4 linked regions of the Lonchura striata genome follow. The protein of the gene in region 3 interacts with the protein of the main gene of each other region in a pairwise test. Links are inferred from orthologs where the notes say so. Each region holds a gene or a part of one and is shown on either strand. Other genes may lie near its edges.

What was found.
Region 1: the proteins of L3MBTL3 (region 3) and PLEKHF2 interact in binary tests that used the Homo sapiens proteins (3 or more experiments, as listed by UniProt). The two-hybrid records come from large-scale screens. The link is inferred for Lonchura striata from reciprocal best matches to the Homo sapiens genes L3MBTL3 and PLEKHF2.
Region 2: the proteins of L3MBTL3 (region 3) and TTC19 interact in binary tests that used the Homo sapiens proteins (3 or more experiments, as listed by UniProt). The two-hybrid records come from large-scale screens. The link is inferred for Lonchura striata from reciprocal best matches to the Homo sapiens genes L3MBTL3 and TTC19.
Region 4: the proteins of L3MBTL3 (region 3) and pleckstrin homology domain-containing family F member 1 interact in binary tests that used the Homo sapiens proteins (3 or more experiments, as listed by UniProt). The two-hybrid records come from large-scale screens. The link is inferred for Lonchura striata from reciprocal best matches to the Homo sapiens genes L3MBTL3 and PLEKHF1.

The regions. Positions count from the first base shown.
Region 1 is NC_134603.1:23,857,417-23,865,284, forward strand, and holds the start of PLEKHF2 (pleckstrin homology domain-containing family F member 2), read right to left. Parts: upstream 3,003-7,868; 5' UTR 2,890-3,002; intron 2,676-2,889; exon of another isoform or gene 2,496-2,675; intron 1-2,495. UniProt on the Homo sapiens protein: May play a role in early endosome fusion upstream of RAB5, hence regulating receptor trafficking and fluid-phase transport. Enhances cellular sensitivity to TNF-induced apoptosis.
Region 2 is NC_134622.1:8,221,828-8,229,173, forward strand, and holds the start of TTC19 (tetratricopeptide repeat protein 19, mitochondrial), read left to right. Parts: upstream 1-4,345; 5' UTR 4,346-4,364; coding exon 4,365-4,536; intron 4,537-4,603; coding exon 4,604-4,677; intron 4,678-4,771; coding exon 4,772-4,882; intron 4,883-4,959; coding exon 4,960-4,998; intron 4,999-5,483; coding exon 5,484-5,540; intron 5,541-5,754; coding exon 5,755-5,816; intron 5,817-5,944; coding exon 5,945-6,039; intron 6,040-6,223; coding exon 6,224-6,378; intron 6,379-6,625; coding exon 6,626-6,788; intron 6,789-7,234; coding exon 7,235-7,346. Other genes in the region: ZSWIM7 (zinc finger SWIM domain-containing protein 7), read right to left, coding at 1,310-1,331, 2,958-3,036. UniProt on the Homo sapiens protein: Required for the preservation of the structural and functional integrity of mitochondrial respiratory complex III by allowing the physiological turnover of the Rieske protein UQCRFS1.
Region 3 is NC_134605.1:60,466,979-60,474,990, forward strand, and holds the start of L3MBTL3 (lethal(3)malignant brain tumor-like protein 3), read right to left. Parts: upstream 3,017-8,012; coding exon 2,940-3,016; intron 2,735-2,939; exon of another isoform or gene 2,726-2,734; coding exon of another isoform or gene 2,709-2,725; intron 2,671-2,708; exon of another isoform or gene 2,601-2,670; intron 1,638-2,600; exon of another isoform or gene 1,555-1,637; intron 1-1,554. UniProt on the Homo sapiens protein: Is a negative regulator of Notch target genes expression, required for RBPJ-mediated transcriptional repression. It recruits KDM1A to Notch-responsive elements and promotes KDM1A-mediated H3K4me demethylation.
Region 4 is NC_134615.1:9,366,053-9,373,470, forward strand, and holds the start of pleckstrin homology domain-containing family F member 1, read right to left. Parts: upstream 3,007-7,418; 5' UTR 2,944-3,006; intron 2,055-2,943; exon of another isoform or gene 1,592-2,054; intron 212-1,591; 5' UTR 67-211; intron 1-66. UniProt on the Homo sapiens protein: May induce apoptosis through the lysosomal-mitochondrial pathway. Translocates to the lysosome initiating the permeabilization of lysosomal membrane (LMP) and resulting in the release of CTSD and CTSL to the cytoplasm.

The sequences.
Region 1 (7,868 bases), on a different chromosome or scaffold from region 3:
ATGTAATCATATCTTACAGTTCACAACAACAATAAAGCAATCTTTAGTAAACATATTCTACCACACCTATCTATAGAGTACTTTTTCATCCCCCTCAACTATAAAAACAAGTCCTCCAATGAATCATGAAAAATTATCCTACAACACCAAACTTGGCACTTGCTGCATTAGGGAGAAAGTTTTTAATACATTTTTCTATTTCAGAAATCCACATTTGCCTGTAAGTACTCTCTTTTGGAATATCATACTTTCATCTAAATACTGAATTAAGTCAGGAAAGTAGTAAAATATACATATATAAGCATGATCTGTAACTTAAAAAAAAATTAAATGGAAAAAAGTAAGCTTGAATATTAACACAGCTTGAAATAAGTCACAAAAGCGCCTTTACGATTTGAAGCTGTACAAAACAAGGTTTCATTTCCTAGTACAAAAATCAAAAATTTTTTATTTTTACCTACCATCTTCTAAGAATCATATTATTTGTTAGTACTGAGATTTCCTTATTTGACATCGCCCATTAATAAGCGCAAAAACTGGCATGCCATTAGTCTGCTAGGACACAACTTCCAACATTTTATCTAACATACATTTTCAGAAAATGAGGTCTGCAAGTACTAAAAAATTCAACTCTGCCTTATCTATGTGCCATGCCTTGACCCTAAGCTTTCACTTAAACACCTCTAGCCCTCTTTGGCGAAGACAAGCCACTAAAAATGCTGTAAGTGTATGACACCAGTGTTCGTATTCTGCCATAACGGCTCTCATGGGGCTTTTGGCAATGCTCTGTCATATCATGCCTCACGTGAAATTGCAGTTCCATCTCTTTACTGCTCTGAAACTATCCTGCATCCACTAAGCACAATAGTGAAACTTAAAAGTCACCATACCTTTTGAGTAGAGCAAATATTTTACCAATGATAATTTTTGTAAACCAAAGCGCTTTAAGATACTATGGATAGATCTGTCACTCTGGGGACATGTCTATTTACTATGGTTAAAGCTCATCCCTTGACTTAAGGGTAACAGAACAAAGCTCTTACTGAAAAAATATTTCATCACTGCATCTAATGAAAGCTTGCTTTTCAGGTGAAAAGATGGTATTCTCTTTCTACAGAATACAACGGTGGAAACTGAACCAGCTTCTCCAGCTAAAAATTTCTACATAACAGTTTTTATTTAGTGTTTAAGGAACTTCCTCTATGTGGGCTTGTATGTAGAGCAAAACTCAGACACATCAAACGGCACACAGCTGATTTGCATTCAGAAGGAAGAATTTGGGACTCAGGCATACAACACTTCACTTTCACTGTTGTTTTCAACAAAATTGGTGGCACTAAAACACTTGGAAAAGTATTATTTAAGAAACTGAGCTAATATAAAAGACATTTTACAACACTGGGATTCCTATTACCCATTGGGATTAGTCAACAGTTTTTAGATTAGAGGCTAAAAGCAAGAGCACTGCCTTCTGAGCTAAAGAACCAATTCCATTCTGCATGCTGATGACGGCACACAAAGCAATTAATCTGCAGGATCTCAGCACCGATTACACTGCTGTCTTTTAAATACTTCCCTTCTTTCAGACAGGCATCCCTAAAATAATTCAATAGACAAGTATCAGAACTTAAGATCTGGATATTTAAGTTCTCCTTATTTCATGAGAGAAAGAGGAATTTGCAGTCTCGGTTCTGAAAGATTCCTGTGTTGTGGGTCTGCTTTTAGAGTCACTTTGCCTACTGTATTAACCTCATCTGACCTTAAGCTGTTAGGCACATTGAAGCTTCAGATATAGTGTTTCTCAAATAAGCATCAACCCTTTCAGAAACTCTTAGCACAGCCTGAGGACAGCCTGAATTAGAACTTAATGATGCTTCTGGAACCATTTGCATCAATTCAGCCAAAAGACGATTCCTGATCTCTGGTTAAGGATATAAAAGGTCCTCTTGGCTATCAACAACCATTGCACTGATGCTTTATGTCAAAACTCGAGTTACAGCTATTTCCCTCAGTAGGGACAAAGCCGATGCCAGGACGTGCTGCTCAGCAGAATCACCCATCGCTTTCTCGCCGCGATGAGCAGTTTTGCCATTTATAAACATGAGTGCCTATGAACAAAGTATTTCGAATGAGGCGAGAGGAAAAACATGCGGCTGTCTTTTCTCGAGCTACTTTCAGAAAACAGTTTACGGGCCATACGTATCTCTGGCAGACCTGTTACACTCCCCTCAAAATAGGTGAATTTCATAGAGGAAAACAAATAGCACCTTATGCTCGCAGCCGCACGGCTCGCGGTTCCGCTGTTTTTTCACAACAGTGCCAACACTTTTCAGGCGCCCCGCTCCGAGAGCGACACGGAGCCCCCCGGGCCGCCAAGGCTCGGGGCAGCGCGGCCCCAGCCCGCCGGGGCAGGAAGCGCCCTCCGCCCGCCCGCCCGTCCCGCCGCCTCACGGCGCCCCGGCGGAGTCACGAGTCCAGGAGTTTCGGGCACTTACGTAACGCCGCGGGGCCGCCGCCGTTGTTGTTTCTCCCCTTTCCCGAAGACGAACTCGTTGCCGAGAGCCCCCAACTCTCTCAGTGCCCTGGGACAAGCTAGCGCCCGCGGCCGACGCTTCCCTCCCCGGGTCCTGCCCGCCCCGCCGCCTGCCTCCCTGCCGGCGGGACGCGGCGCTGCCCCAGCCCCGGGCGGGACAGCGGAGCCCAGCGCCGCCTCCCGCCGGGGCGCTCCTTCCTCCCGGGCAGCCCCCGGCTCCCAACATGGCCGCGAGAGAGCGGCCGGAGTCCCGGCGGAGGAGGGCTCCGCGAGGAAAGTTTCCCTCTCGCTGCCCGGCCGGCCCCGACCCAAGCCATCCCCGAGCGCCCAGAACGCGGCCGGACAGCGCTGCTCACCCGGCACACCCCGCTCCGGCCGCCGCCTGCCCTCCCCGCCGCACGGCGCGGTCATACACCCCACGCCGTGGGACGGGCTCCGGGACACCGCCCGGCGGGGCGGGGCCGCCGCCATCTTGGGCGGGAAGGAAGAGCGGCCCGGCCCGGCCCGCGGAGCGCCCTGGGCGGGAGGGCGGAGCGGCCCGGCCCGGCCCGGCCCGCGGGCGGCGCCTCGTGGGAGCGGGAGGCTGCCGGCTCCCCACCGACCTCCTGCGGATGTTTGAGAGACGTTCTTTGTGGGCGATCGCGGGTCTGTGTGCGCGCCCGTGGCTCTAAGTAAGCTCGCCCAGAGGTAATTCAGGATGGGCACGTTTTTAAGCACTTCTCTCTACGCAGCACATGGAAGGGAATTAGTGACATGTTTCAGTCTGAGGAGTTGTTCGTCAGCCTAGAAGAGTTTCCACCAGAAACGCTGTCAACACAAGGAGCCCCTTCCACCTTCTGTGTCAGAGTTTTTTGTGTGTACACATTGAGTCATCCAGAGCAGTATTTTTCAAATCTAGCCGGCTGCTCGGCAGCTCACCTGGTCCTCCAGGATTTCCAGCCGATGATGGATGCTGTCAGAGGGGAAGGGTGGCTGGGAAGGTTCTGAAGAGAGTGGAGCAAGAGGAGATAAAAGGGTACAGCACCATTAACTTCGATGGTGTTGCTCTGATACTAAAGTCTGCACTGGAAAATGGCCCAATGGGCTGCCTTTTTTTTTTTTTTTTTTTTTTCTCCCCAAGAAAATTTCACTTACATGCTATATGGCAGTTTCATTTTTCAAATTTCACATTATTGAGCAATACCATGTCTGGCTTTTCTGCAGATTAAAAATAGGTAGTGGGGCTTTCCAGTAGAAATCATGAAACTGCTGAACTTTCAGCTGAATTTTCTTCCCCAGCTCAGACAGGGACACAGGCAAGAGCCACATCACTGAGCTGCATTTCTCCTGCTGCAGAAGAGGCACACAGAAAGGGAGCAAGGAGCAGGACATGGAGCTCTGAGCACCCTACAGCATGACAATCTAGTCTTCCAGTTTTCCCTCAAATCCATCCAGTGCGTCAGCCTGAGCTGTCATGTAATTACTCTTAATGCACTGATTTATATAAGGTGTGGGCCAAGCCGTTTAACATGAGTTTTTTGGAAACAGGTGCTTGTGGCTTAAGCCACAAATCTCAGATTGCATGCAGCAGGGTGTATTAGGCCAGTGCTTCATATGTAAAGAATTCGGGCACAGCCAATATATAAATTGGCCACAAGTGTCTTCATTTTCAACTGTTGTCAGTTGCAGAGAGATCTTCACACCAGAGGATCTTTTATGTATGGGCTGGCCTGGTTCTTGTGAACCAAAAAGAAAATTGCTGTGAACCTTTCTCTTTGTGTTGTAAACTTCTGTAGATTTAACTTATCATCTAAATCAATTTTCTTGGCATCAGAAGCAGCTTTGTGGGTAATTAACTTTTCTTTCATGCTTACAAATAATTTTATAACACCCAGTTGAATTAAGATGCAGCAGAAAGTTGGATACAGGCAAAGTGAAGCAGTCCTAGTGTTTCTGTCTGCGTATCTGTGTTTTAATTCTCTTCCTGAAGTGCAAACTGACATTGTTTTCTGAAAGGTTTACAAAGTGTAACAGCAGTGAGATGCTCTTTCTACCATGTATAGTAATGGAAAATCAGCACAAGACCTTAACTCCGGTTAAGAGAATAAGTAACCTGTTGTCTGAGGAAAGCTGGAAACAAAATGTTATCATGCAAAGCAATTTTAGTGCTGTGAAAGCCTGCCATAATTTTTTTCTGTTAACTTCCTATATCTTCAGAATTCTTTTTTTACTCTGTTTAGCAAGAGGGGAAAATAAATATGAAAACGGTCCGTTTGCAAATCCGCAAACACTTCTTCCTAAGTATGTATAAAAAAAGTAAACACTTGACCTAATTTTTAAGTAGTTTTGAAAAACTTGGCTAAATGCCAGTAATTCTTGCTGTGTGTTCACTATATCAAAATGTCATTACAGATCATGTGTGTCAGTTTCAATAGAGTTTTTTGTATTTATCTATCTTTGCTCTTACATGTCAAATTTGTATCTTAGTACTGCAGAAGCAATCTTGCAAAAAACTAACTGCATAGAGAAGATGCATGGAAGGAAAAGGATGGGAGATCATGGGGTGTTCTACTGGAAGAAATAGACACTAATGTATTTTACTATTTCACATAGAGTGATTATTTGTAATTTTAATTTAGCTGAAAAAAAACTTATTCCAAAGCATAGCTTGTCTAAAATGACATTTATTTCTGCTCTCTAATTATAATCTTACTGTCAGTTATGCCAGAGCTGTGCTTTAAGTGTGGAGGAAATACCTTCTTCAGAAAATATGAAATAGCAGTGATACGCTGCAGCACTTGTCTTATACTGTGCTTCCTCAATTGCCTTATGATTTTTGAATGGACACTGTTTGCACACAGCTTGCATTTTCACTTCAAATCTTCACAGGGATCACATGAAAATTGAAGTAAATCTGTCTGATGTTGAGCTAATGCAAATAGTTGTTTCAGTAAGATTTTTACTTCAACATATCAGTGAGACATTTACACTATTTATGAAAGCTTCCAATAATGGACTATCTACAACTCCCTTGGCTTACAGGTTTCTCTCAAGCAATTTGAAAATTGCTGTGAACCTTTCCTTTGTGCTGACATTGAAATTCTGATGGAACATTATTGAGGTTGTAGCTTTGTTTAATATACAAAAATGCTCCAAAATTTTCAGCACTGTTGAATGGGGGTTTTTTTAGCAGTAGTAAAACATAGTTTTAAGAAAATTAAAAAGCAGTATTTTAAGAAATGATGAAAACCAGCATATATGTAGGTTCAGAGATTTACTGTCAAGTGAGATTATTCTTTAAAAGTGGCTTGCCTTTAAAAGCTGCAGTTGGAGATTTTTTTTCCTTTAGAGTTTCATGTACAATGAATTACCTACTGGTAGTCAACTGTAATTTGCTTCATGGAAGCCCACTTGTCTCTCCCACAAACTGTTTTGTTTTTTTTTTTCAAATGCTCAAGAATCAGTTTAAAAATTGACAGAACTTGCAATTAGAACCTTGCAGTCTTTGTTGTGCTTGAGCTAAAATAAGAATCTGTCCACTTCTTACAGAGGAGTAACAGCCGAGTTCTGTGTTACAAAATGAAATTCCTAGAGATTTCATTAACATTATATATTTTTGGTCAGCAAAATTCAGTCATGTTATATTCAAATGGGACTTTAAATGCTTTGCTTTCAGTAACTTCAGAAAGTATTACAAACAATGAAAAGAAAATCTTTGTCTTTTGCTTCTTTATGAAATGAAATATATTTTGAAGCAGCAGCATCTTGGTTTTTCTAGTAGATGGTAATGCAGAATACCTTCCCAGCTTTAGGTTACTTCTTTAGTACCTGCAAAGGGAGACCAAACCCAGAAATTTAAAGCTATTTAAGGGACAATTAAATGCTTTATTCTCAAATCTTGCCTTTTGTGAAAACGAGAATGAATATGCAGAACAGGTGATTTCTAAGTTATCCTGGTCTCAGCTTCTGCACTGGAAGTTTGTTTGGCTCCACTGTGTTGTACCCACCCCTCTTGGTATGTCACAGCTTTTGGATGTGTCCTTCTGGGATGTTACTATCTCTTCTCAATGTTTTGTACATTATCCTCTTTATTAATTTCATTTGCTGCCTTGTTGAATTGTGTAGGAGCCCTTTTTGACTTTTCTCACACTTTAGCTGTTACTGCTGTGTTTGTTATCCATGAAGTGTTTTGCTAAGGAGAGCTGTGTTCTTTAGGGATGGGGGTTATAATAGACACTTTTCCATTAAGATTTTTTCTTGTGTGATTTTTTTTTTTTTAATTGCAGAGACTTCCTATTCTATGGTACACCAGGGACTGGAAAGACTCTGGTAGCTTGTGCAGCTGCTAATGAATGTAGCCAGGGTAACAGGGGAGTAATCTTTTTTATGAGAAATGGTGTCAACTGCCTGAGTGAATGGGTAGGAGAATGTGAATGAAAGTTTCATTCATTATTTGAGTAAGTAAGATTGAAACATGCCACATGTTCTGTCTGAGTTGTAACTAATTTTCTGTGGTCAAGAAGAAATTCTTTTTCATGTTTTGTCAGGTCCTTCCACTGAAATGGGACTGTCGGTGTTTCCTTTTCCAGTGGGGTCTTGGGGGTCTGGAAATCTTGGGATGTATTGGGAAATATTAATAATGCAAACAAGAATATTTTGCAAAGCACCACCATCCCCCTCAAAAAAACTCCAAACTAACCAGTTCCAGTGGTCTTGTAACCATGTTTTTCATGTATTTTCCCTTACAAACAGTGCTGTTTTCCTGATATCAGTGTTCCTGTTTTCTTTGTAGGCCTACCAGATGTGACCTTCAGTTCCTGAATGAGATCAATGTTCTTGCTCCCATACACACCAGCAAACAAAACCAGGTTCATAGGTGGTTAATGTCTTGTCATCAAGACATGTCCCAAGACACGTCATCAGGAAGGTGCTTGATCTTTGTGAAAAGAAGACCACAACCTACTTAACTTGCTGTGACACCTTCGTTGAACCTGAGAAGTAGTAATTCAGTGCTAGTGAATTTCAGATTATTTTTAAATGAGAATTTAAAACAATTCACTAAGCTTGAAATCAGCCTAAGCTCTGTATTGTATTATCTGTATTTAATGTCTTAAAATGAGGCTTTTGCAAATCAGCATCTTTTCATTAAAAGCTTGTCCTTTTTGAGGGATTGGTGGAAATGGTTATGTGGAACTGAAGAAAATTTACTAAACCAGTGAATGAAAATCGTATTTTTCTTTTACCTCAGTTGTTGGAACACTTCTGGCACTAACGGATGGCTTTGCCAGCGGAAAGGTTGTGGTAATGAGATCCCATTGTGGCAGAGCCATTTCAGGATGGAGGATGACACTCATGG
Region 2 (7,346 bases), on a different chromosome or scaffold from region 3:
AAACAACAAGGAAATCAGCAGTGATGAAGAGATAGCACCAAACAGAGGAGGAGACCAAGAGAAAGGGGAAAGTTTCCAAGGCCAGGGAGGACAGAGCAAGGCAGAGCCCCAGCAAGGCTGAGTCAAGCTCATTGATGGGCAGCCAAGCAGACAGATTCCAGGAAGACCAAAACTTGCACAAACTCAAGGCAAGAAGGGCTGGCTCCATCTGAGGAGGTGGGTGGGGAACGCTTAACTAAGACATTCCTTCATGATTAGGTTTGGAACTATAAGGGGGCTGAGTTCAGTGAGTTTCAGGAACTCTTTTCAAATCTAGGGAATTCTTTTCTTGTGTATATAATTTGATCAGTTCAACAGGAAGTGCCCACAGGAAATTCAAGGACTTTGGAGATTTGGAAGAGATTGGGAAATTAAATCAGAATACGTCTGAGCTGCTGGATGCAGGGAATTGATGGAAATCTGGCTGCCAAGAGTTACCACCATTATTAAACTTAACAAGGGAATTTCTCTCCTCTTTTCTGAGGAGAAGGAAGCAAAAGCTTTCAAATCTGATCCCACCTTTCAAAGGCCACTGTGATCCCAGGAGAGGGAGTCAGCACACCTTTCACAGGTGGTGTGTCAGATAACTTTAACAGAAAGGCATCAAGGCCTGGAGGGTTCCTGGTGATCTCATCCCCTGGCAGGCAAGACACAAGGTTAAAGATGAATCTAAAATTCTCTTTCACTGTGACAATGCCTCTTCTCCACCTTCAACACCAGTTGGTGAGGGCTGAAGTTGTGAAACTTGGATCTCTTAGGTTACTGCTGGGAATGATTAAATTATTCACAGGGTGACAAAGCGGACCTGAGCCCACCCCAAACAGAAGAAAACTCTCAGTCTCCAAGTTAACATTTCCCCTGTGCAGGGTGATGATCAGGACACTTCTCCCTCTCCATCACACGTGCCCATGACTCAAACAGCAGGAGTGAGCTCAGGGTGCTCAGTGGCAGGAAGGCAGAGGGATGAATCACCCTGGAACACAATCCACTCCCACAGCAACTCCTGCCAGACCTGAGGCTGGACTCAGAGCTCAGGTTCAATATCTTGGGTTTAAATTAGAGCAAGTCATCACAGGAGATGCTGTGATACAGAGATCATTTTGTGAATTTCTGGAAAAAAACCTGTCAGAACGTTCATTTACAAAAACCACCAGCGTTTTTGTGTTTCAGCAGCACTTGGTCAAACACAGTGGAAAACCAGGATGAGAGCTGACCACCAACTGCCCTTCAGCAGGACACTGGGGCAGGAACTGAAGCTGAAGACACTCACCCCAGCAGCAGCTCATCAGGGACTGCAACAGAAAGAAAAGGAAATGTGATTTTGCAGAATTTCGCATCACAGGGGGGTTATTGTCCCCCTCAAGGTATCCCCAGAAGCCACACAGGACTGCAGAGATCTCAACATCCTCTCTAGCCACCAAAAAAGCAATAAGGAGCAGCAAAATGATCCATGATGGCAGTGCTAAGGCACTTATCAAGCACAGCAATCACAACCACAGGGATTCATTTTAAAAAGAAATGCAGAAGCCCAAATGGATTTTCTTTTATGACATCTTACTTTTAAAAGCACCCAATAAAAGGCAGGAGTCCTCAGCCTGGTTAAAAAATATATATATATTATTTTCCCTGAAACTCTCCTGGCATGAGTTGAGAACTCAGGCATTACAACTTTAAAAAAATGTTGTTCTTTTCCCAGCACACTCTTGCAGGGCGCCACTGGTTTATGAGCCCACTGAAACATTTTGTCTTCATTTATTGTCTCCTTAAGATGGAAAGTTACACTCAAGCAAATTGTGTTTGTTGGACAGCTCAGGCTCTGCCTGTCCACTCTGATCTTTCTGTTATCACCCAGGGGACACAGTGTACTCTGTCTCCATATCCCACTGGAAGATCTGGATTTTTGACTTTAAAATAATTTTCTTCTGACAATTCAAAATACTCTCTATGACCTGCAGTGTTGGTTTGATTTTTCCAGCTTTATTTGAATTTAATTCTGCAAAGGGATCAATCAGTTTGTCTCCACAGCTCTGTCTCTACATGTGCTTTAGTACCACTCTGCTGCTGTAAAAAGGACGTCTTTAAAGGGATGTAAACTTTTTTTTTTTGCTTAGTTTACAACAGGATTTATAAAGCTCTTTTAAAAGTCACATGTAGATTTTGGATCTACTCTAACCTGACAGAAGTCACAGTGCAAGTGTGCCAAAAAGCTGTCACTGGGGTCACTCTGACAGTTTAGACATGAATTTTCTGCCCATTCCTCACTCCCACGTAGTGCTCAAGACAGATTTATCTGAATTCTTATTTGTTTGGGTTTTGCAGTTAAAAATATTCCTTCAGCAGACCCTTACTTTGTGAAGAGCCATTCTGTGCAACTCATCCAGTAAACACAAACACAGATCCAGCAAAGGTAATTATTCCTAACTAGCTGCTGGAACTGGCCAGGGTTTCGGCGCTGGCTGGGGTTCCTTTCACTGAAGCACTGGGAAATTGTTCCTCGCCCTGGGATCAGCAGCACGCCCCCTCTGCCGGTCAGTCAGGACACGGCTTGGGGAAATTCCCCTTTCCAACCCCAATTTTGGGATTGGTGAGTCTGTAGAACCGGCAGTGCAGAGGGCACAGCAGAATTCTTGCCCGGAGGCATTAATTTATCATCTCTTAAGTGTGACCATGTGCACCAGGAGCTCTAAGAAGCAGCAGTCTCCTCATAAATCTCACAAAGAGTCTCCCAACTGGTGTGATTTTTGAATTGGACTTGAGGAGGGGCTGCTCCTCATTATCTGTGCTTCACAGCTGTCTGTTGTCACAAAAAAGGGACATAAAGGTCCAGACAACAGGGTCTGGTAGGAGAGGGGAGGCCAAGGCCCCTGCACACTCGCTGGGGGTGTGCCAGGCCACTCCTGCGGGGCTCCTTCACGTACCCTGTGAGGTCTCCTGAAAAGCCTTTTTGATCTCTCTCAAGAGCTCTTCTGCCACAGCTGGCAAGGTGCTCCTGTCCATCCCACCGGCACGGGCTCATCCCTGGAAACGAGACAGGACAGGAGACAGAGGGAAATCTTCAGGGTCACCATGGATACTGAGCATCGGGGGGGATTATCTGGGCACCCCATCCCCACCAAGGAATGACATACTTTAAAATGTTTTAAAACAACTTCTAAGGTTTCTTTGTTTTTGTTTTTTTCCCCACACGTTCAGGAGGGGATTCCCCACCGACACACGGGTGTCTCTGAGATGCACCACAGCAGCAGAGCTCCCGTGGGTGTTCCTCACTCAGGGGCACTGCCTGGCCCGGTGCTGCTGCGGAGCGGGAAGAGCCGGGACAGAGCCGGGGCAGAGCCGGGACAGAGCCGGGGACAGAGCCCGGGGCAGAGCCGGGACAGAGCCCGGGACAGAGCCGGGACAGAGCCGGGGCAGAGCCCGGGACAGAGCCCGGGGCAGAGCCGGGGGCAGAGCCGGGACAGAGCCGAGACAGAGCCCGGGGCAGAGCCGGGGCAGAGCCCGGTGCAGAGCCGGGACAGAGCCCGGGACAGAGCCGGGACAGAGCCGGGGCAGAGCCGGGACAGAGCCCGGGGCAGAGCCGGGCCAGAGCCCGGGACAGAGCCGGGCCAGAGCCCGGGCCAGAGCCCGGGACAGAGCCGGGACAGAGCCCGGGGCAGAGCCCGGGGCAGAGCCGGGGCAGGGCCCGGGGCAGAGCCCGGGACAGAGCCGGGACAGAGCCCGGGGCAGAGCCGGGACAGAGCCCGGGGCAGAGCCGGGACAGAGCCCGGGACAGAGCCCGGGGCAGAGCCGGGACAGAGCCGGGACAGAGCCCGGGGCAGAGCCGGGACAGAGCCGGGACAGAGCCGGGACAGAGCCGGGGCAGAGCCCGGGGCAGAGCCCGGGGCAGAGCCGGGGCAGGGCCCGGGGCAGAGCCGGGACAGAGCCGGGACAGAGCCGGGACAGAGCCGGGGCAGAGCCGGGACAGAGCCCGGGGCAGAGCCCGGGGCAGAGCCGGGACAGAGCCGGGGCAGGGCCCGGGGCAGAGCCGGGGCAGGGCCCGGGACAGAGCCGGGACAGAGCCCGGGGCAGAGCCGGGGCAGGGCCCGGTGCAGCCCCTCAGGCGTTCCCACACGGGTGGGATCCCCAGCGCTTCCCGGGAGCTGCTCCTTCCTCAGCTGCTCACCAGGGCGGGCAGAGCGGCGGGACCCGCTCGCTGCCGGCTCCCGGTGCCGGTGCCGTTCCCAGTGCCGTTCCCGTTCCCGCGCCCGGCCCCACACCGGGAGTGACGTCACGCCCCCGCCCCGTGCCCGGCGCTGACGTCACGCGCGCTCTTAAAGGGCCCGCTGGGGATGGCGGCGGCGGCGCTGCCGCGGGCGCTGTCCCGGCTGTGCCCCCGGCGCTGCCCCGCCTTGCCCCGGCCCGCCTGGACGGGGGGACACCGGGGACACCGCGGGGACAGCGGCAGCGCGGGGTGGGCGCGCTGGGCACGGCCGGCCGGCGCCGCGCTGGCCTTCCTGGGAGGTGAGAGGGGCGGCGGGCACGGGCACCGCGCCGCCGGCGCCGGGCACTCACCGCGCTGTCCCCGCAGGCTTCTCCCCGTTCCCGCGGGACGCCGAGGAGGACGGCGAGGACGCCATCGTGCTGCTGCTGAAGAGAGCCAAGGTGAGGCGGTGCGGGCGGTGCGGGCGGTGCGGGCGGTGCGGGCGCCCGGGTGACCGGCGGTGACCGGCGGTGACCGCGCCCGCTGTCCCCGCAGCTCAGCGCCATCAACGGGGAGCTGGCCCAGGCCGAGCAGCTCCTGCACCAAGCCCTGCGCCGGGCGCACCAGCAGGAGAACCGGCAGGCCGTCATCTACACCTACAGCATGGTGAGAGCCGGCCTTGCTGCTGCTGAGGCGCGGCCGCATCGCCTCGCCGGAGCTTGAGCGCTCTGTGTCTCTTCCAGATGGGGAACGTGGCATACATGCAGGGACAGCTGGACAATGTGAGTAACTCTGGGTTTTCCCTCTGAATTTTTAGAAGTTGACGTGTTGTGCACGGTCTCAGGTATGGGGTGCTTGCACACACAAGCTGCAGGCTCAGAGCTGTGGGGCAGAGATGTCCCAGTGCACAGCAGAATGATCCAACTCGGGATTGCAGTCCCATGAACACACCAGGTGCTCTCACAGTTAAAGGAGGGAATACTTCTTACTGTGAAAAGCTGCAGTTGAGCACAGAGATGCTCCAAGGAGAATCTGGGAAAGCCCTGAGCTCACAGAGTAAAGGTCTGGCTGCTGCTGCAGTGCTCCTGCAGAAACTGAAAGGACTCACTGGTTCAATACCAGTGGGCTCTGGTCAGCCTTTCACCTCTAACTGCTCTTGCTGAGTGTAAACACAACAAATTTGAGCCAGTTCCCTCTGTGTAATTTGCCTCTGTTTTGTTTTAAATGCCATAATTTCTCAGTATCCCCTTCAAAATTCTTGTTTCAGGCAGAAAAGCTCTACAAAGCAACTATGAGCTATATGCTTGCAGGGGACACAAAGGAGGTATGTTCTGAGACAGGTTTCCAGTGGGGCCCTTCTCTTTACCTTATTTCTTGTGCTGTAATGCCTCTTACTGGAAATTTGGAATACTGTAAAGGATGGCAGCACTGGAGGCAACAAGATGGGGATCTTTAATGTCTAAACTCTCTGAAAAAGTAGTCTTTTTGTTGGGAAGGTACAAGAAGAGTAACAGTTACGTTGTGTGTCCTCCTGGCAGGATGACAACGCCATCCTTGAGATATCCCTCAAGCTGGCCAGTATCTATGCTGCTCAGAAACAGTGAGTTCCCAGCTAGAGGTGGCACTTGCTTTCATCTCAGCTTTGCCATGCTGGTGAGGTGGTCAAGCAGAGGATCTTTAATGAGGGATCCTTCAGGGACAGAAGGAGCTTTGCTTTGCACTTTACAGGCACAAATTAGCTGTAGCTGGCTACCAGTTCTGCATCTTGACCTTAGAGGAGAAGATTGCCAAGCAGAAGGACTTGCCTGAGGATGTCTTATCAGGTGGGCAGCCTTGTCTGCCAAAGGCTTCTCATCTTTTTTCCATTTCCCTGTCCTTGATGTTGTTTCTGAGTGCCATCTTCATGTCAATCCATTGTCTTCCCACTGCCTGAGTTTCTGCTGTGGTAGGATGGGGGTTCATGCTGAATCCTGTGGCAGTGATCACTTCACTCCTCTCTGTTTGCAGCTGAAGAAAAGGCCAACACGCAGCTCCTGCTTGGGATGAGCCTGGACTCCTACGGCCGCTACCTCCTGAACATCAACGAGCTCCCAGCAGCACAAAAGATGTATGAGAAGGCTCTGCAGATATCAAATGATGTTCAGGGAGAGACTCATCCACAGGTGATTTGGAGTAGTAGGACTCCAGGGAAGGAAAGGCTGATCTGTAGGGAATGAGGTAGCCTTGGAGCAGCTCTGCTGCCATCAAACATGGCCAGGAAGGACGAGCATGCAAATACAGAAATACAGGCTACTTCCTTACTGAAAGCTTCTTTGGGAAATACTTCTTTAACTGGTGTGGCAGGGAATGAATGTGTGCTTCTGCTGCCCCAGACTGCTCCACAGGCTTCCCTTTTCCCTCCTGGTGCAGAGTGTGGTGCTGATGAATGACCTGGCGACGGTGCTGGACGCTCAGGGACGCTACGAGGAGGCGCACACCTACAGCAGGAGGGCAGCAGAGCTGGCAAGGGACACAAAGCACCCCGAGGAGCACATGGTGCTCAGTAACCTGGCAGCAATCCTGATGCACAAAGGTCAGTGAATACATGCCCAGCCACTGAGCTTGTGCTGAGTGCAGGGATCTGGATCTGTGTTGTAGGGGTGAGCTGCAGTGCTGGTTTGGGGTTATTAGTTTTAGTTTAGGCAGTAGATGTGACTTTGAATTGGTTTCACAAACTGAGCCAAATGGTTTCCAGGGGATCTTGTTTCCCATGTCCTTAGTCCCCAGTAACTTTTCCAAAAGGACAGAAGACATGTGTGAGATTTGTTTCTGTGAGATTTTAATGCTGAAGCAGCACCAGGTCACATCATCACTGCTGCTCTCCAGCTCTCAAAACCTGGCAGGATGTTTTCTGAGCTTCCCTAGATCTTGATGTGTTCCAAGTAGTCCTTGTCCTTTGCATGTGATCAGCATCAGGAGGAGGCTCTGAAAATGGGTGATGGAAGTGGGTAACCAAGCCTTTTTTCTCTCTTGCTACAGAAGATTTCTTGCAAGCAAAACAAATGTACAAAGAAGCCCTCAAGCAGGCACAGCAGAAGGGAGATGCTGCTTCTGTACAGCATATCCAGGAGGAACTAGCTGAGCTGGCCAA
Region 3 (8,012 bases):
AAAAGACATGGAAGAGGCCGTGACCCTCACGCCCCGGGGGAAGCTGCCGCATCTCCAGGGGCCTCGCAACGCGCGCACCGCTCCTCAAGCCGAAAAACCCCGGGGGCTCGAGCCGCGCTCCGGAACGGGACAAGCGGCACGGCCGCAGAGCGCGCCCCGCGCCGCTCCCGCGCAGGCCGTGCCCCGGCGGTCCCGGCAGCGCCCGCCCGGAGCCGCCCGCGCCGCTCCCCGCCCGGCGCGGCGGAGCGCGGCGGCGGCCGGAACGCTGCGGCGAGGCCCGGCGGGCGCGGCCGCCGCTCCCCGCGCCGGCAGCCCGCGGCCTACCAGCAGAGGTCCCTCCTTGGCCAGTTTTGCGGCGTGTTTTTGCTGCACTTGAAACTTTCTGGAGAAAACCCGGGCTCAGGTCCGCGTCTTCCCCAGGCTCGGGCAGAACCGCCGAGACAAAAGCGCCCGCCCCGCTCCTCGGGAGGAGCGCTCGGGGAAAGCGGTTCTCGAGTGTCTCCGTTTCCCTCCCGAATTTGCCTTTTTATCCTTCGCCCCCGCCCCGGGCAATTAAACCGAGCGGGGGAAGAGTGCCCCCCTGCCCCGGCGAGGGGGCGGCGGTGGGGGCGAGCGAGGTGCGGGCGGGGGTGGGAGAGGAACTGGGTGTTAAGTGTTCCTGAGGAAGTTGCACAACGAGAGAGGGACTCTGCTTGTTTACCGGGTCCCTCGCTTTTTTTTTTTTTCCTTCCCGCCCCCCCCCCCCTTTCGCCTCCACCCCCCGGGACCGGGATCCGGGAAAAGGAGGTTGCCTCCGAGTGAAAGGAAAAAAAATTTTAAAAAATGTTACCTTCTCCTCCCTCCTCCCCTCCCCCAGCGCGGAGGAAAAGGAGGAGGAGGAGGGGGGCGAGCTCTCTTTTTTCTAGGGGGCTGCGGGGACTCGCTACTCGGCCGCTCGCAGGCGATGTCCGGGCATCCCTCGGCAGAGAAGTCACCCCTTCCCGCGGGAGGGGCCGGCACACGCCGCCTCCCCGGAGGGCTCGCCCCCGCCCGGCCCCGCAGCCGCCAGCGCCCGGCCCCGCGCTGCAACTTTTTCTCTCACGCTCTCGCGTGCGCCCGCTCCGACGGGGAGGGGGGAAAACCAAGGGGGTGGGGAGCGAGCGCCGCTGCGGCCCCGACGCGGCGCCCCCCGCCCCGGGCGCTCTAGCCCCGGCAGCCTCTCCGAAGCCCCGGCCGGGGGCGGGCGGCCGCTCCGCGGGAGCGCCTTCCCGTCGGCCGCCGCTCCCTCCCCCCCTCCGAAAAAAAAAATCGCTTTCCGCCCCCCCCCCCCCCCCCACCGAAAAAACACCGCCCCACACGCGCTAGCGAGAACAAGTGTGCCTATATCCTGTTGTTATATGCACCGGCTGCGGAGACGGGGAGGGAGAGACGGGCGTGTGCGCGGGGGGCCGCTCCCCCACCCCGGCCGCACTTCAGGCGAGAGCGCGCAACTTAACAGAAAAGCCGCGTCCTATTCCTTGCCCCTGCCTGCCCCCCCCGCTCCCTGCCCCCGTCGTCGGCAAAATACGCACTCACGTGTATGTGCGCTCACTCACACCGCCGGCACCCCGGGGCCAGCCCCCGGCAGCCCCTCGAGGCCGGCCCGCGGAGCCGGCGGCGGTGACAGGCGCCGGCCCCCGCCGCCGCACGCAGCCCGAAGCGGGCAGGGGCCGTTCCCCCGCCGCCTCACATGTCTGCCGCAGCGAGCGCGGCGCACGCACCGCACAGAGGCAGGAACTGAGCACTCGAGCAAAAGACTTTTTTTTTCGTCTCTTAAAAAAAAAAAAAAATTGCTACAAGCTTGCCTTTTTTTTTTTTTTTTTTTTTGTATGTGTATGTGTGTGCAAACTTTCCCCAAAATGGCGGAAATTGGGAGATGGTTATATTTTAAATATCTCTCGCACACAATCACACAAAGTGCAGGAGCGACGGAAAATACAAACTCTCTGCTGCGCGCTGGTAGAGGCCTTCGCACACGGGGACCCACGGCACATTCAACCGGTATATCCCGGCAGCCGCCACCTCTCGCCGCTTCCGACCAAAAAACCCTTTTTCGCACCCCTCTCCGCTGCGCATTGCCCCCTCGCAGCCCGCACTTCTCCCCGTCCTTCAGCCTGTGCGAACAAAGAGCCGGGGCTGCGGAGGGGGGGCTCGGGTGGCAGCGAGCCCCCTCCCTCCGCTCCGCTCCCTCCCCGCCCGGCGCTCACATGCACACCCGTGCCCCCCCACCTTCTCCCCCCGCCGCCCGGCCGCGGCACCCGCATCACATTGTTCCCAACAGCACGGCGGTGCCCCGTAAGTGTCATTAAATGCAGCCAACTGACAAGCTCATTGGTGGGGCAAGTCTGCAAAATGTCTCTCCCCTTCCCTTCCCCCTCCCTTTGGAACCCACTCCCCCCCCCCCAAAAAAAAAAAGAAGGGCCCCCACAAACACATTTCCACAGCTCCCTCCCCCGTGTATATATATATGTACATACACATACGTGCGTGCGTGCCTGTGTATGTATATAAATATACAGCGCATATATATATACATGTACTCCCTTCATGTGTTTGGGAAGAGAAAAAGAAATACCAGGCACCTCTCTCTTTCTTTTGTTCCTCTTTCACACTCGTACACTTATGATTTAGTGAGATCCCCGGTGCCCCGGCCGCTCCCCAGCCACTTGCGAGTCACTTGCCCACTTTACCCGGCATTAACTTCCATCCTTTCTGCTCGAGGTGGTCGGGGAGAAGCCCCCCTCCCCTTCCCCAGATACGTTTCGTAAGGGAGGGAGAGGAGGTGCGTCTCTCCCTTTATCTCTCAGGCTCTCTCTAACTTTCATCCTCACCTAGGGGGAAAATTAAAACCCGTCACCAGCCTTTGCCATCGCGGCTCCCTAAACGGCTTGCGGATCAGATCGGAACCCGCCGCTCCTTACCCCCCCAAATTCTCTCTTTCTCCGTCTCTCGAGTAGTCCTGACAAATATGGTCCAGGGCTGCGGGCACAGTGAGCATGCGCCCGCGGAGCCAGGGCTGGGGAAAGGGGAAACTGCCGCCGCCGCCGCCGCCGCGGCTCCTCTTCCTCCCTCGCCTGCGCTGCCGCTGCGCCCCGGCCGCCCGCGGCCGGCACCCGGCAGCCGCCAGCGGCGGCGGGCATCGCCCTCGCCGAAAACGCGGCTGCCGACGAGGGCTCCGGCGGAGGTGCATCCTCCCCCTGATTTACTGCCGACGCTGGAGGAATAATAAGGAGACTTGTGCAGCAGTCGCGCGCTATTTTGGGCGCTTTCAAAAATAACGCCTTGCACTTTTCGGGGAGGGGGAGGTCCGGTCCTCGGGGGTCCTGCCAGGTCCTGCTAAGGTTGGGTGGTGGGCGCCGGGGAACCGGGGAAAGCCTGTCTGTGGCTCCTCTGCGCAGAACAGACCTGGGGCAGAGGCAGAACAGCTGGGCACCAGTAAGGAAAGAGCGGGTCCTGCGGGAGAGGGGCTGCCCTCCGCCGCGGCCGGCGAGGGCATCCTCGAGGAGATGGTCAGAAGCCAGGCAGCGCGGAGCCAGGCTCCTCCTGCGCTCCCGAAATATGGGGTGCCTGCGGTATGGACACATTCCTTGTGATGGGCCTCATCTGGTTTACAACCTAGCCAGCTCACCAAATAAAACTAGTCTCAGATGTGCCACCTTCTTGAATACTCTCCATCGGTGCCCTGTATTCCTAAAGACAAATAACATCTTCATTTATTTTCTGTCCCTCGTTCAGAAAACAGTGAAAACTGATGGCCCTTGTTGCTTCATGGGAATGCCCAGGATGAACTTCACCTGCAAGGATAACTGTTTGGAGAAGAACATTACACAGCACAGACCTGTATGAGGCCTAAGTGTACTGGGAAAGAGGGAGGATGGAGGATTGTGATCAGATGTAAATATGATACTTTTAAAACTGTATATACATCTATGTATGCAGTTTGAGGCAAAGTATAAAAGAACACAGAACACAATCTTCATTATACTAATCCTAAATTTTTTTTCAGACCACACAGCATCTCCCTAAAGTACTTCTGTCCTGAAGACAAAAACTGACAAAGTAAATTCTGAATTTTTGATAGTTTGGCATATTATTATATATCTCTTAAAATAACTCTCAAATCTCAATACATCTTTTGTTAATCCCAGTAGTGATCAATGACCATGCTTTGTCTTGCTTTTATATATGCTCCCTTCTAAAACTACACTTCCAACTTTGGCCAAAATTACTAGAACAGAAATAATGATAAATACTAATAGTCAGCCAGTAATAGGTATTAGCTGAATATCAATAGAAATAAATACAAATGACAAGACTAAGTACAACCTTTTTAGGTATTATGGATGCATACTGTATTACCCTCTGATCCCCATGATGGGGACAGCGTTGCACTGGACACAAGATAGAGATGCTCCATCTCTGATAAGACTTCCTAGCCTCAGCTTCTGCTCAGTAGAGAATTTACTTTCAGAACGTGTATTAAAATATTTAAGAACCGAGCTTGACAACTCCGCTCCCTTAAACTATGCCCATGTTCAAACAGTTCAGACAATCAGGCTTTTGCCCTACTATCTTGACAGTTTCTGTCTATTTAAATGATTTTTTTTCACAGCAGTAAAAAGGGGCTCATAATTAAGTATTTACAGAATTGGTGCCTAAGCAAAATACATTATAGTTGTTTTATTATGAGCAATGATGATAAAACACCCCTTCAGCTCAAATGGCATTGCATATAGGATGCAGTTTTCATCAATAAACATATGTTCATTAGAAATTAATTACAGAAAACAGTATTAACCTAATTGTAATAATTAGTGATAACATGTATTTTAACTCTTCTAAAACACAGATGCAAAAAATAGTGGATGAGAAAATTCTTACTTTCCACCAGTGAGCTCTTACTTGAGGAAATTTATGTGTTAGAAACAAAGAATAAACTGTAACAGAAGTCATTCAGCGCTTTTTTTAAAATTATTTCCCAATGTTCCCAATGTTCAATGTTGTTGAAATGTTTTAAGTCAAACAGTTGCCAAAGAACTAGATTATTCTATTGTAGCATTAAATTAGCTGGGCTCTGCAGAAGATACTCAAAGAATGGTGCAATTTGGTGTACTTTCAAACTCTTTAGGATGCTTGACCTGTACTGATTATTCTCCAGATGATATTGATGTTTTGGGGGATGGTATAACATACCCTGCTAAGAAGATACATTTCTAAGAGTACAACTGAACTAGTTATCTGCCATTATTTTATTTATGCTTGAAAGACTTTGTCCCTTTCCTCTGAAAATCTTAAAGGGAAACATATTCATATGTGTGACTATAAGAGGGTAGCCCCTTACAGAAAAAAAACCTCCATGAAGGATGTATATTGGAAGCTGTAACTGAAACCAAGGATTTGAAACAGCACATAGCTGCCTTATGAATCAAATTGATAACACTTTGATTAAAATAAAAGGACATATGAAATTAATAAAGGTACCTTCTGTTCTCTGTCTCTTCTTCGATCCTTGCCCTAATCATAGTGTGTCAGCTCATGATGTATAATAAACCCATTATTTTGTCAATAAAAATTTATTGGATAAAAATAGATTAAACATTATTCACATATGCTCTTTAAACATTAGTTCTGTTGCCATTTTATTTAATACTAGAATTCCATCTGCATTCCAAAGGCAGAGAATTTCAAACACTTGTTTTCTATATGTAAGTATGGCATTTAATATGATTTTGGCAGTATGTTTAATGACAGATTTTGGAGTAGCTAAATTTGATCTCTCTCTGAGTATTCTTGTAACTCGTTGAATAGGTGTTTGTGCTGTAGCCAAATACTGATTATTTTTATAAGGGCATGTGCATGAACATCCATCTACATGGCTTCCAAAATCCAAATCTTGAGTACCATTTAAGGGGATGAGAGTAAAGTAATGTACATTATCCATTCAGTTTGCATATTGGGTTTGTGTGATCTAATGGCTCCTCAGGAAGTATCTACATAAACCGAGAAAAAGAGAATCCATATTTACATTTTACCAAAAAATTTGACATTTCCAGGATCTTGATTTCTATGATTAACATGCCTTAAAGATGGCCTTATTAATCAAAAATAGCCTGTATGGGACTTTTTATCACACTTCTAATAACCTGTGCAGCTCATTGTGTGACCTTTCTCACCAGTGACGGTTATCAGTCTGTCATGTGATTCTTCCCCAACCTGGAGGACAGGAAAGAGGGTTTGAGGGCAATCACTGGGGAAAAAAAATATATTGTAATATTATGTAAAGCTCTAAGCCAGGAAAATGGAAGTCTTAAAGCTTTAAGAAGTTGAGAATGAAGAGAGAATGTATATGTGGTTATTTACCAATTGAAGCGAGCATATTGCAGTCCATGCTGAATCCTCTCAATAGTACTGTCTCCCTGTCCAGAGAATTTGATGTCCACACTGATGTCCACAACTTGACTTATTATCAATGGAATCAACTGTTTCTGCCACTCATCCTGGAATATTTATCAAAGTTGATACAAATGTCATGCTAAACTGGAGAGCCAGTAATACCTCCTAGTTTTCAGATCTGTGTGCCTGCCTGACTGGATCCTAACTCCCTACCACAGTGAGACTTGGGTAGGAAACAGCCTTTTTTTTTTTCTGGGAAGAACACTTGAGCATGAGTACTTGAAAGGAACTGCAGTATTTTCCAAAGACATTTCAGCCCAACCTGCTTTGGATGTAGGTGTAGTGCAACCTGGGAGAACTTGTTTCTGAAGCTATTGATGAAGCCTTTGAAAATTCCTGCTTTCACAAAGTTGCAAGACTACAGAGCTTTCCGGAGTTGGTCTTCATCCTAAAGAAATTCAAAGGCAGATAGGGAAGTTATGGGTTTGTCAGTTCAGGAATGAATCCAGAGCCATGTTACATATTAAGGGTTTGGGGAGCATTGGACCAGAATAATGAGTTGTAAAAACAGAAAAAGTAATTTGCAAGCATGAGTCCAATGAAAATTAGGAATATTGATGAGGACTCCTGAACCAGAAGAAGGCTGAAGTTAGAAGCTTGGACATGTGAGTTGGACATTAGAGGAGAGCTTGGAGCAATGGCAGATCTTAAATGAGTTGAAGGAAGCAAGGAGGAAGTGGCCCCAGAGACAAGAGGTATGAAGACACAACAGGGATGTGTGGTCTGGAATGGATGATAGGCCCAAAGAAATGGGTAAGAACAAAGGTCCTGAGGGAGAGGAAAGGAGGGGGTAGTAAGAAAAGAGACACACCACAGAGGAGGACAAGTGGTATGGAAAGGGGCAAAGTGTAAGTGGGTCAAGAAGAGAAAGGGGGAGGAGGAAGCCTGTGCTGGGCAAGGCTGGAAGTAACAGGAGATTTGCAGTCTTTAAAAATGGACTTTCCTAGATGTAGTTTTAAGGGATAATAATGAGTAATATCGTGGTTATGAGTGGGTAAGAGGGTAACCACCATGGCTTGTTTTGGCACAGAACTGTATTCATGCATGCTCTTTCCTAAGGTATGTGGGCACACTCTGCATATGAGGACCATTATCATTTCCCATAGTAGAAGACTTTGACTCCAACTGTGCATAAGATTATAACAGCCTTGCAGCAAAGCATTACTTTGGACAGTCTGTTCAGGCTGGATACTCCAGACCTGTCATCCAAAAGCTAGTAGTCACTCTGAGAGCTAAGGCTGTATTTTTAATATGCACAAAGTAGGCAAGTTGATGAGGCAGCACAGAATAAACATCACTCTTGGGAACAGAAGCTGAATGAGAAAGGGTTGCAGTCTTCACTTCTTAGGTGGAAAGCAATTCAGTTGAAATAGGCAACAAAAGCAGGGGTTATGTTAATAATTGTTTGTAGAATTTTTAGGTCTATAACTGCTGCTTAAAAATATCTGGAAGTGAATAAATAGCTCATCCTGTGGGTCTACTTGGACAGCAAAGCCTGACACCATGGGGAAAAGAGGAGGAAGTCCCATCCAAGGTCCTTA
Region 4 (7,418 bases), on a different chromosome or scaffold from region 3:
TGACTGGAGAAGAACACATACACATAATTAAAAAAAAATAGTAGGAGTGGGACTTACAGTGCTTACCTTTAGGCTAGGACAACTCACTCTATGCTTCTGTGTGCTCCCTGTTCAGATGGGGGCTGAAACAGCCATCAGAGGGGCTGACTCCTCACATCCCACCACAAGCCAGATCCGTCCTGCCCCAAGTTCCACACAGTGCTCAGCTTGACTGACAACATAAAACCCAATTTCATGTTAATACTGTGACTCACTGCAAATAATCCACAGTTTGGCTCTGGAATGCAAGCACTTTGTAAATCTGGTAAATAAAGATAGCTGCTGAGTGCTACTATGGTCTGCTTTCCTGGGAGATGAGAGCCTCTCCCTTTGGAACAAAGTGAGGATATGAAGTCTAATCTATTTTATTAATTTTGGTAAATGTTTTTTCATGTTTGCTCAAGTTTGCTATATCAGGCAGCAGGGTCACAGTGCTTATTAGCAAGTGCTACATATGCCCATGTACCACATGCAGCAGCAGCAGCTTACCCAGCTGAAATTAAGGTGGCAAGATGTGTTTTTCTGGCATTGCTGATTTTCACAGAAGTTTCTGGCATGGCAAATTCTGGGGTTGTTTTTTTCATCAAGTTCTGCTGGTTCTGCATGTGATCAAATACTATGCAGTGAATATGACTGATGTTCAAAGGAAAAAAAAATACAGCTTGGCACTCCACTCCAGAAGTAAGCACGCCACAACACTTAACAATGAGCGCTTGTTCACTTGTGATTATAAACAGCCATGTTGGTGCCTGCCAGGCACAGCATTTCAACTTAAGCTCACGGGTCAGCAAGTCTGGGGTATGTTTTTCAAGTCTGTATGTATCTAAGGCTTAGGTGTACCGAAGCAGCGAGCTCTTCTACCTGATCCTTCCATTCCTGCCATCAGGCAGAACTGACAGCCTTGGTATCCACTGCACACCTCATGCATTCCACACGTGGGATAGTCCATTCCACTGAGATCTGACTGCTGAGGGCTGCCAGCAGAAAATGCCCCGAGCCCCACCTCTCTACAGCTTTCCCTGAACTCCTGGAGTTAGGGCTGGCATAAGCTCTTGCTCACCGAGGACAGCAAGTAGGATGCAGCTGCCCGAGCAGGCATTTAGAGCAAGAAGAAAAAGGTTCCTCTCCTTTTCCTGCCTGAAGGTATTTCAGCTTGCTTCTCCCTCTTTCCCGGCATGTTGTAAGTGCTGGGGTAAGGAGGACAGGCTCTGGTAAACCCCCTTCCTGCCATGCTTACGAGGAACCCAATTCAGCACATGGACATTTAGGGTCATATCACTCCATTAAGAATGTCACCAGTTCCAGTGGGACATGGACTGACTGAGCTGCCAAGCTTCTCGCCACTGCTGCTCAGTGTAGAGCCACAGCAAGGGGCCGGGCAGCGGCTTTGGAGGAGCTCAGACTGATGCTACCGAACCCAGCTGTTGGCAGCCTGAGCTCAGTTGTGGCTCTTGTAAGTGCCAGCCAGGCTCAGAGGCGCCCAAGCAGCCGAAGAAGGGAAGGAATGGAGGGAGGAAGGGGGAAAACCACGAAACTCAAGGCAGAGCCTTACCCGTCCGTTCCCCCCCGTCTCTGTCCCCGCACTTATCCCGAGGCACTGATCCGCGTGACGGCGACAGACACGGGCCGGCTGCCGAGGGGAGAACCACCGAGGGAGGAGACAATTCCCTGTCCCTGCCAGCGCCCGGGAGCTCACGTTTCCCTCTGGAACAGGCGCAGGGCCCAAGCGGGTCCCGCTTACAGCTCCGCAGCGGGAGCAGTGCCCGGGCTCTTGGGCAAAGTTGGCAACTTAAAGAGTCCCGTCTAAAAACCCCAACACGCCCGCTCCTCTGGAGCGGCGTTCGGGCCTCAGGCTCCGCACACGCATGACGGGATCCCCGGTTCCAGCAGCGCACACCGCGGGATCCCCGGTTCCAGCAGCGCACACCTCGGGATCCCCGGTTCCAGCAGCGTACACCGCGGGATCCCCGGTTCCAGCAGCGCACACCTCGGGATCCCCGGTTCGAGAAGCGCACACCGCGGGATCCCCGGTTCCAGCAGCGCACACCTCGGGACCCCGGTTCCAGCAGCACACACCTCGGGATCCCCGGTTCCAGCAGCACACACCTCGGGATCCCCGGTTCCAGCAGCGCACACCTCGGGATCCCCGGTTCCAGCAGCGCACACCGCGGGACCCCGGACGGGCAGCGCACACCTCGGGATCCCCGGTTCCAGCAGCGCACACCGCGGGATCCCCGGTTCGAGAAGCGCACACCTCGGGATCCCCGGTTCCAGCAGCGCACACCTCGGGATCCCCGGTTCCAGCAGCGCACACCGCGGGATCCCCGGTTCGAGAAGCGCACACCTCGGGATCCCCGGTTCCAGCAGCGCACACCGCGGGACCCCGGTTCCAGCAGCACACACCTCGGGATCCCCGGTTCGAGAAGCACACACCTCGGGATCCCCGGTTCGAGAAGCACACACCTCGGGATCCCCGGTTCCAGCAGCGCACACCGCGGGATCCCCGGTTCCAGCAGCGCACACCGCGGGATCCCCGGTTCGAGAAGCACACACCTCGGGATCCCCGGTTCCAGCAGCGCACACCGCGGGATCCCCGTTTCCAGCAGCGCACACTGCGGGATCCCCGGTTCCAGCAGCGCACACCTCGGGATCCCCGGTTTCAGCAGCGCACACCTCGGGATCCCGGGTTCCAGCAGCGCACACCGCGGGATCCCCGGTTCGAGAAGCACACACCTCGGGATCCCCGGTTCCAGCAGCGCACACCGCGGGCTCCCGGCACGGCCCCCCGCCGCCGCTGTGTCCCACGGCGGGCGGAGCGGAGCCCCAGACCGCCCCTGTCCCCGCTCCGGCAGCGGAGCCCCGGCTCTCCCCGCCGCCCCCGCCGCAGCCCCGCTCGCCCCGTACCTGCCGGCCGGGCCCGGCCGCGCTCCGCGCCGCGCCGGGCGGCTCCGCCCGCCCGCGGCAGGGCCGGCCCCGCCGCCGCTCCCGCCCACCGCCGCCGCGGCCAATGGCGCCCCGGGGCCGGGCGGGGCTGCGCGCCCCGGGGCCGGGCGGGGCTGCGCGCCCGGGGCGCCCGAGACGGGGCAGAGTCGGCTCCGTGTCTGCGCCCGGGGCGCTGCGCGTGTCCCGTAGCCGCGTGTGCCCTGCCGACATCCACCGCCCTCCTGCACGCTCTCCGCTTGGCCGCCCCGGCGTAACTCAGTGCATTTAGTTTGCTGGCAGTTTTGAGTTTCAAGTTTTGTCACCCCCTAATCACAGTATATTCCATCGAGTACAATGGTGCACATGGATGACATTGTATAAAGATTGTTTCAGTGATAAAATACCCCCAGTGTTTACACTTAAGAGGGATATAAATAGAGACATTACACTGGTCCAAAACAGAAACCAGACCTCCTCCCAAGCTTTGGATCACATCTTCTAACCACTTTTGTGATTATTCTTACAGACGTTTGTGTAGAGAACAAGCTATTAACACTGAAATTGGCGTGTCAGGGAAATCTTTTGCATTCCTCTCTCCCACCCGCTCACCCCCCCCCCGCAAGACAGTGCCGGAGGGTGCTGGGGTCGCTGGGCAGAGGCTGGGAGTGTCCCTCAGCACTGCTGAAGGTGCTGCAGGGGAGCCGAGCTCTGGCCCTTGCCAGGTGCAGTCACACAACCCCAGGCCTGTGCTGATCTATAATTCAGGTGCTTGCTCACTTTCTGTAATAGCTTTTCTATTTTTAATGGGAAGTGATGGCCCTGTCAAGGTATTATAAATATTTTTTTTTCCCAGGTTTTCATTTTCTTTGGTAATAATAATGTGGGCTGGGACGCTCATGGTGCACTTTAGAGCTAAAGTGCTTGGCAGTCATGGGAGTTTCCACAAGACCTTTTTTCTTTACACTTTGTGTTTGTGTCAGATGAGCAAATAAATGAGGACATGGACTAAGTTCAGTGCAGTATGTGGCTGCCTAGCAGTGTACAAGGGAGGGTTACAGAGGTGGCCATCGGGTCACTGCCAAACCCCTGAAAACCTGGGAGAAAGCTCAGCACAGAGGGGAGGCTGCTGGGCTGAACAGAGAACAGATTCAGGTTATCACTGCATATATAGTGATATATATATATGTAGTGATATATAAAAATATAGTGAGATATATATATATGTGTATATATATATATATATATATATATATGTGTATATATATATATATAGTGATATATATATATATAGTGATATATATATATATATATAGTGATATATATATATATCTCAGGGCTTTATTGTGGGGTCTTTTCAGTCCTCCTCCCTTTTCTGTGGGGCGGAGTGGTCTGTTGGTGGAAGGAGCATGGTCTGCCTTCGCAGGCTGGTTTTCACACCTGGGAGCTGGTTTGTGTTGAGCTGGAGTACCAGCTGTGTCCTGGCTGCCTTGGGACCAGTCTGCTAACTCTGAGGAGATCTGCCCAGCTTATAAATTAATTCTCTACAGAATGCTGGGGCTTTTTAAACAAGAGCTAACTGTAAATATCTCTAAACTATAAATAGACAAAGCACTGAACTAAATATGCCAGAGTTTGTTTTAGCTGTCAGACTAATTCAGATCTAACCAGCCATATATTATTATTCTGAAACTGTTTTTTTTTCTCCTGTATGCTAAAATTATTCTGAATTTGCTCTTATGTTATGCTACTCATAGTCTCTATTACTGAGATATAACCCTTTAATTTCTTTTTCTTGTTGTTTTTCAGTATGCTCACCTGGACAACACATCAGCCAAACGCAGCACTGGATTGGCCAAACCACCTGGGATTTGAAGGTTTTTTCCTTTGTTCCTCTTCAATCAGAAGTGGAGGTGTGCTCAGACAACTGTTGCATCAGGGAAGAGAAGCCCCAAGATACACTTTGGGTTTAAGTCAGTATTGAGCAGTCACAACTGAGAGCTTTCTGTTGGTATTTTGTTTGTTTGTTTTGGAAGCTATTACGTACTTGTTTGAATTCCTTACTGAGATACAAACTGGGAGTTTCAACAGTAATCTTAAGAGTTATTTGATAGGCAGGCTCAGGAGCTCTGTTTTTCCTGGCTCTAAAACCAAACATTTGTGGGACCACTTGAAAAAGCTGCAGCCCAAATTACCAGCTTTTAATGCAACTAGAGCAAGGTAAAGAGACTTTATCTGATTGCCTCTGGCATTTTCTCCAAAGCCACTTGTTTCTCAGTAGCAGAAATATCTTGCCCAATTGGGATGCAATAATTTCAAAGCAAGTAAAGGAAACTGCAGCTGCTGAGCTGAGTCAGCCAAAGGTAAGCTCTGCAGGGGAGAAAATGTTTTTTTATTATCTTCTAGTGGCAAGATTACTACAACAGCCTACAGGAAAAGATTAGATTATAACAGTAACAAAAACATCTGTTAAATTCTCAGCTCAGTGTATGTTTAGTGCATGTTTGGAAAAGAAGAAAAAACAACCCAGACATTTGATAAAATTCTTTTGAATAAAACTCAATATTTAGATTCAGTTTGGGATGCTAGGAACCCACTGTGATCATAGGATAGACAGTGATTTTAACTAATTTGCTACATAGGGCATTTAATCAGTGCATAAGACAGCTTTTAGCAACGGAGATTTTATTGAATTGAGCTTGGCATACTGTGACCTAATAAAGGAATAAGACAACTTGTGTTCATCATCCAGGTTACCTGTAGGGATGAGTGACCTCTGTCCTGAGCAAGAGTGTGGGGGGATGAATGTTTGTCTGGCCTGGCTCTCAGGGATTCTGATTATCAGCCTCTTCAGAAATGTGTGAATTGCCATGATTGATTTGTGTCTCTGAAGCCCTACCAGCTTCCTCTGCCTGCTTTAGAAATGAGTTGTTCCAAGTCTGACAGTGCAGAAATTACATCCATGCTCAGCTCTGTCAGTACAGGGTGGAACTTCAGAGTGCCACTTTCCAAATTCTCACTGGTCCACATGCCTTAAAGCTGCTGCCCAGCAAGCCTGTTTCAGAGGCTGCTTGTGCCTTAGGGCATCTCTCAACCCTCGTGCAGGAATTACCCACTTGAGTGGCTCTGGAAGCCTGGCTGCAAAATGTTTGTCCAAGTGATGAAAGTATTCCTGAAAGCAACCTTTGCTTGCTCCTCTGCTTTTTGCATAAAGCAATGCTCAATCAACATGCTTTTGTTTTTCACAGAGGCATTGCTGTGCTTTGCTTGTGTGCAGCACTTTATCCTCAGGATCCTGAAGTGCAGCATAAATTCTAATAACTGTGAAGGCTTGTACCCGTCTCACAGGGAGTTCCTCTCTTGGAGAGTTTCATTTGGTCACACGGTGCTTGGTCACCGACACAGAACAGTGGGGGATTTACTCTTGTCTTCAGTAGCAAATGGCTCTGGCTCAGAGTGAATCAGCTGGGAGCTGAGGAACATCCCCCAGAGCTCCTGACTCACAGCCTCATGTGCCTCACCACAGGGCCACGTCCCAGCTCACGAATCTCGGTGATCCTTACAAAAGCTCTTCTGTGCAAGGATGACAAAACCTCTCACATTTGCAGATTCTAAAGTTACAAGTTTGTCTTGGTGTTTGCTGCACCCTTCCCTGCTCACACCTCAGCCCTGCTCCTGGGTCACATGAGTACAGTGCTGTAGAGTTGGAATTCAGTCTTGAATAACCAATAATGATCAATAATTTCTGAGCTGGTCGTGATGAGTCTCCAGGTTGCACCCAAGATGTGCCCAGTGCAGGGACTCACACCAGGGGAAGCTCAGAAGTCTGAGCTCTCCTGAGGAGCAGGATGGGCGAGCACACACTGAGGAAGAAGCAGGAGCCCTGACATGCTGCAGCCCTTATCTCTGAGTAGTGTTCCCCAGTAATGCAAACAGGATGAGTTGAAATACAAAAGGTGAAGGTGAGGAAAAGCTGAGGTAAGAGAATATAAAATGTCAGGCCTGTGATAAGGTGCAGGTGTTCATTGCAGAGAGGGGTGTAATATTAGAATAAAATGTATGAAATTAATGTGGGGAAAAAAGAGGTGTATCTAGAAAAGTTACTGAATGCATTTTTCAGCATGCTGTAGGAGAGTGCTGCACCTTCTGAGCTCAGCCTTCCTTCCAGAAGGAACATTCTGGGCACGTTCTTCTGAACTCTTTCCTACTGCTGCTGTTCTGTCTGAACAGAGGTCTCACATTCAGTGTGCCTATATTGCACAAGATAAATCATGGTGAACAAATAACTGGTGAGCAAGTGCTTCAAAGACTAAACTGAGGTAGATTAGCCATTTCAAATATTTAAATAGGGAAAAAGCATGGGAGAACAAGAGTGTGATAATCACTGGTTAATGCAAAAAAATCTAAATGACTGATTGATGATTAGTCAAAGACAAATAAAAGAGTGTCATTCCTGAACC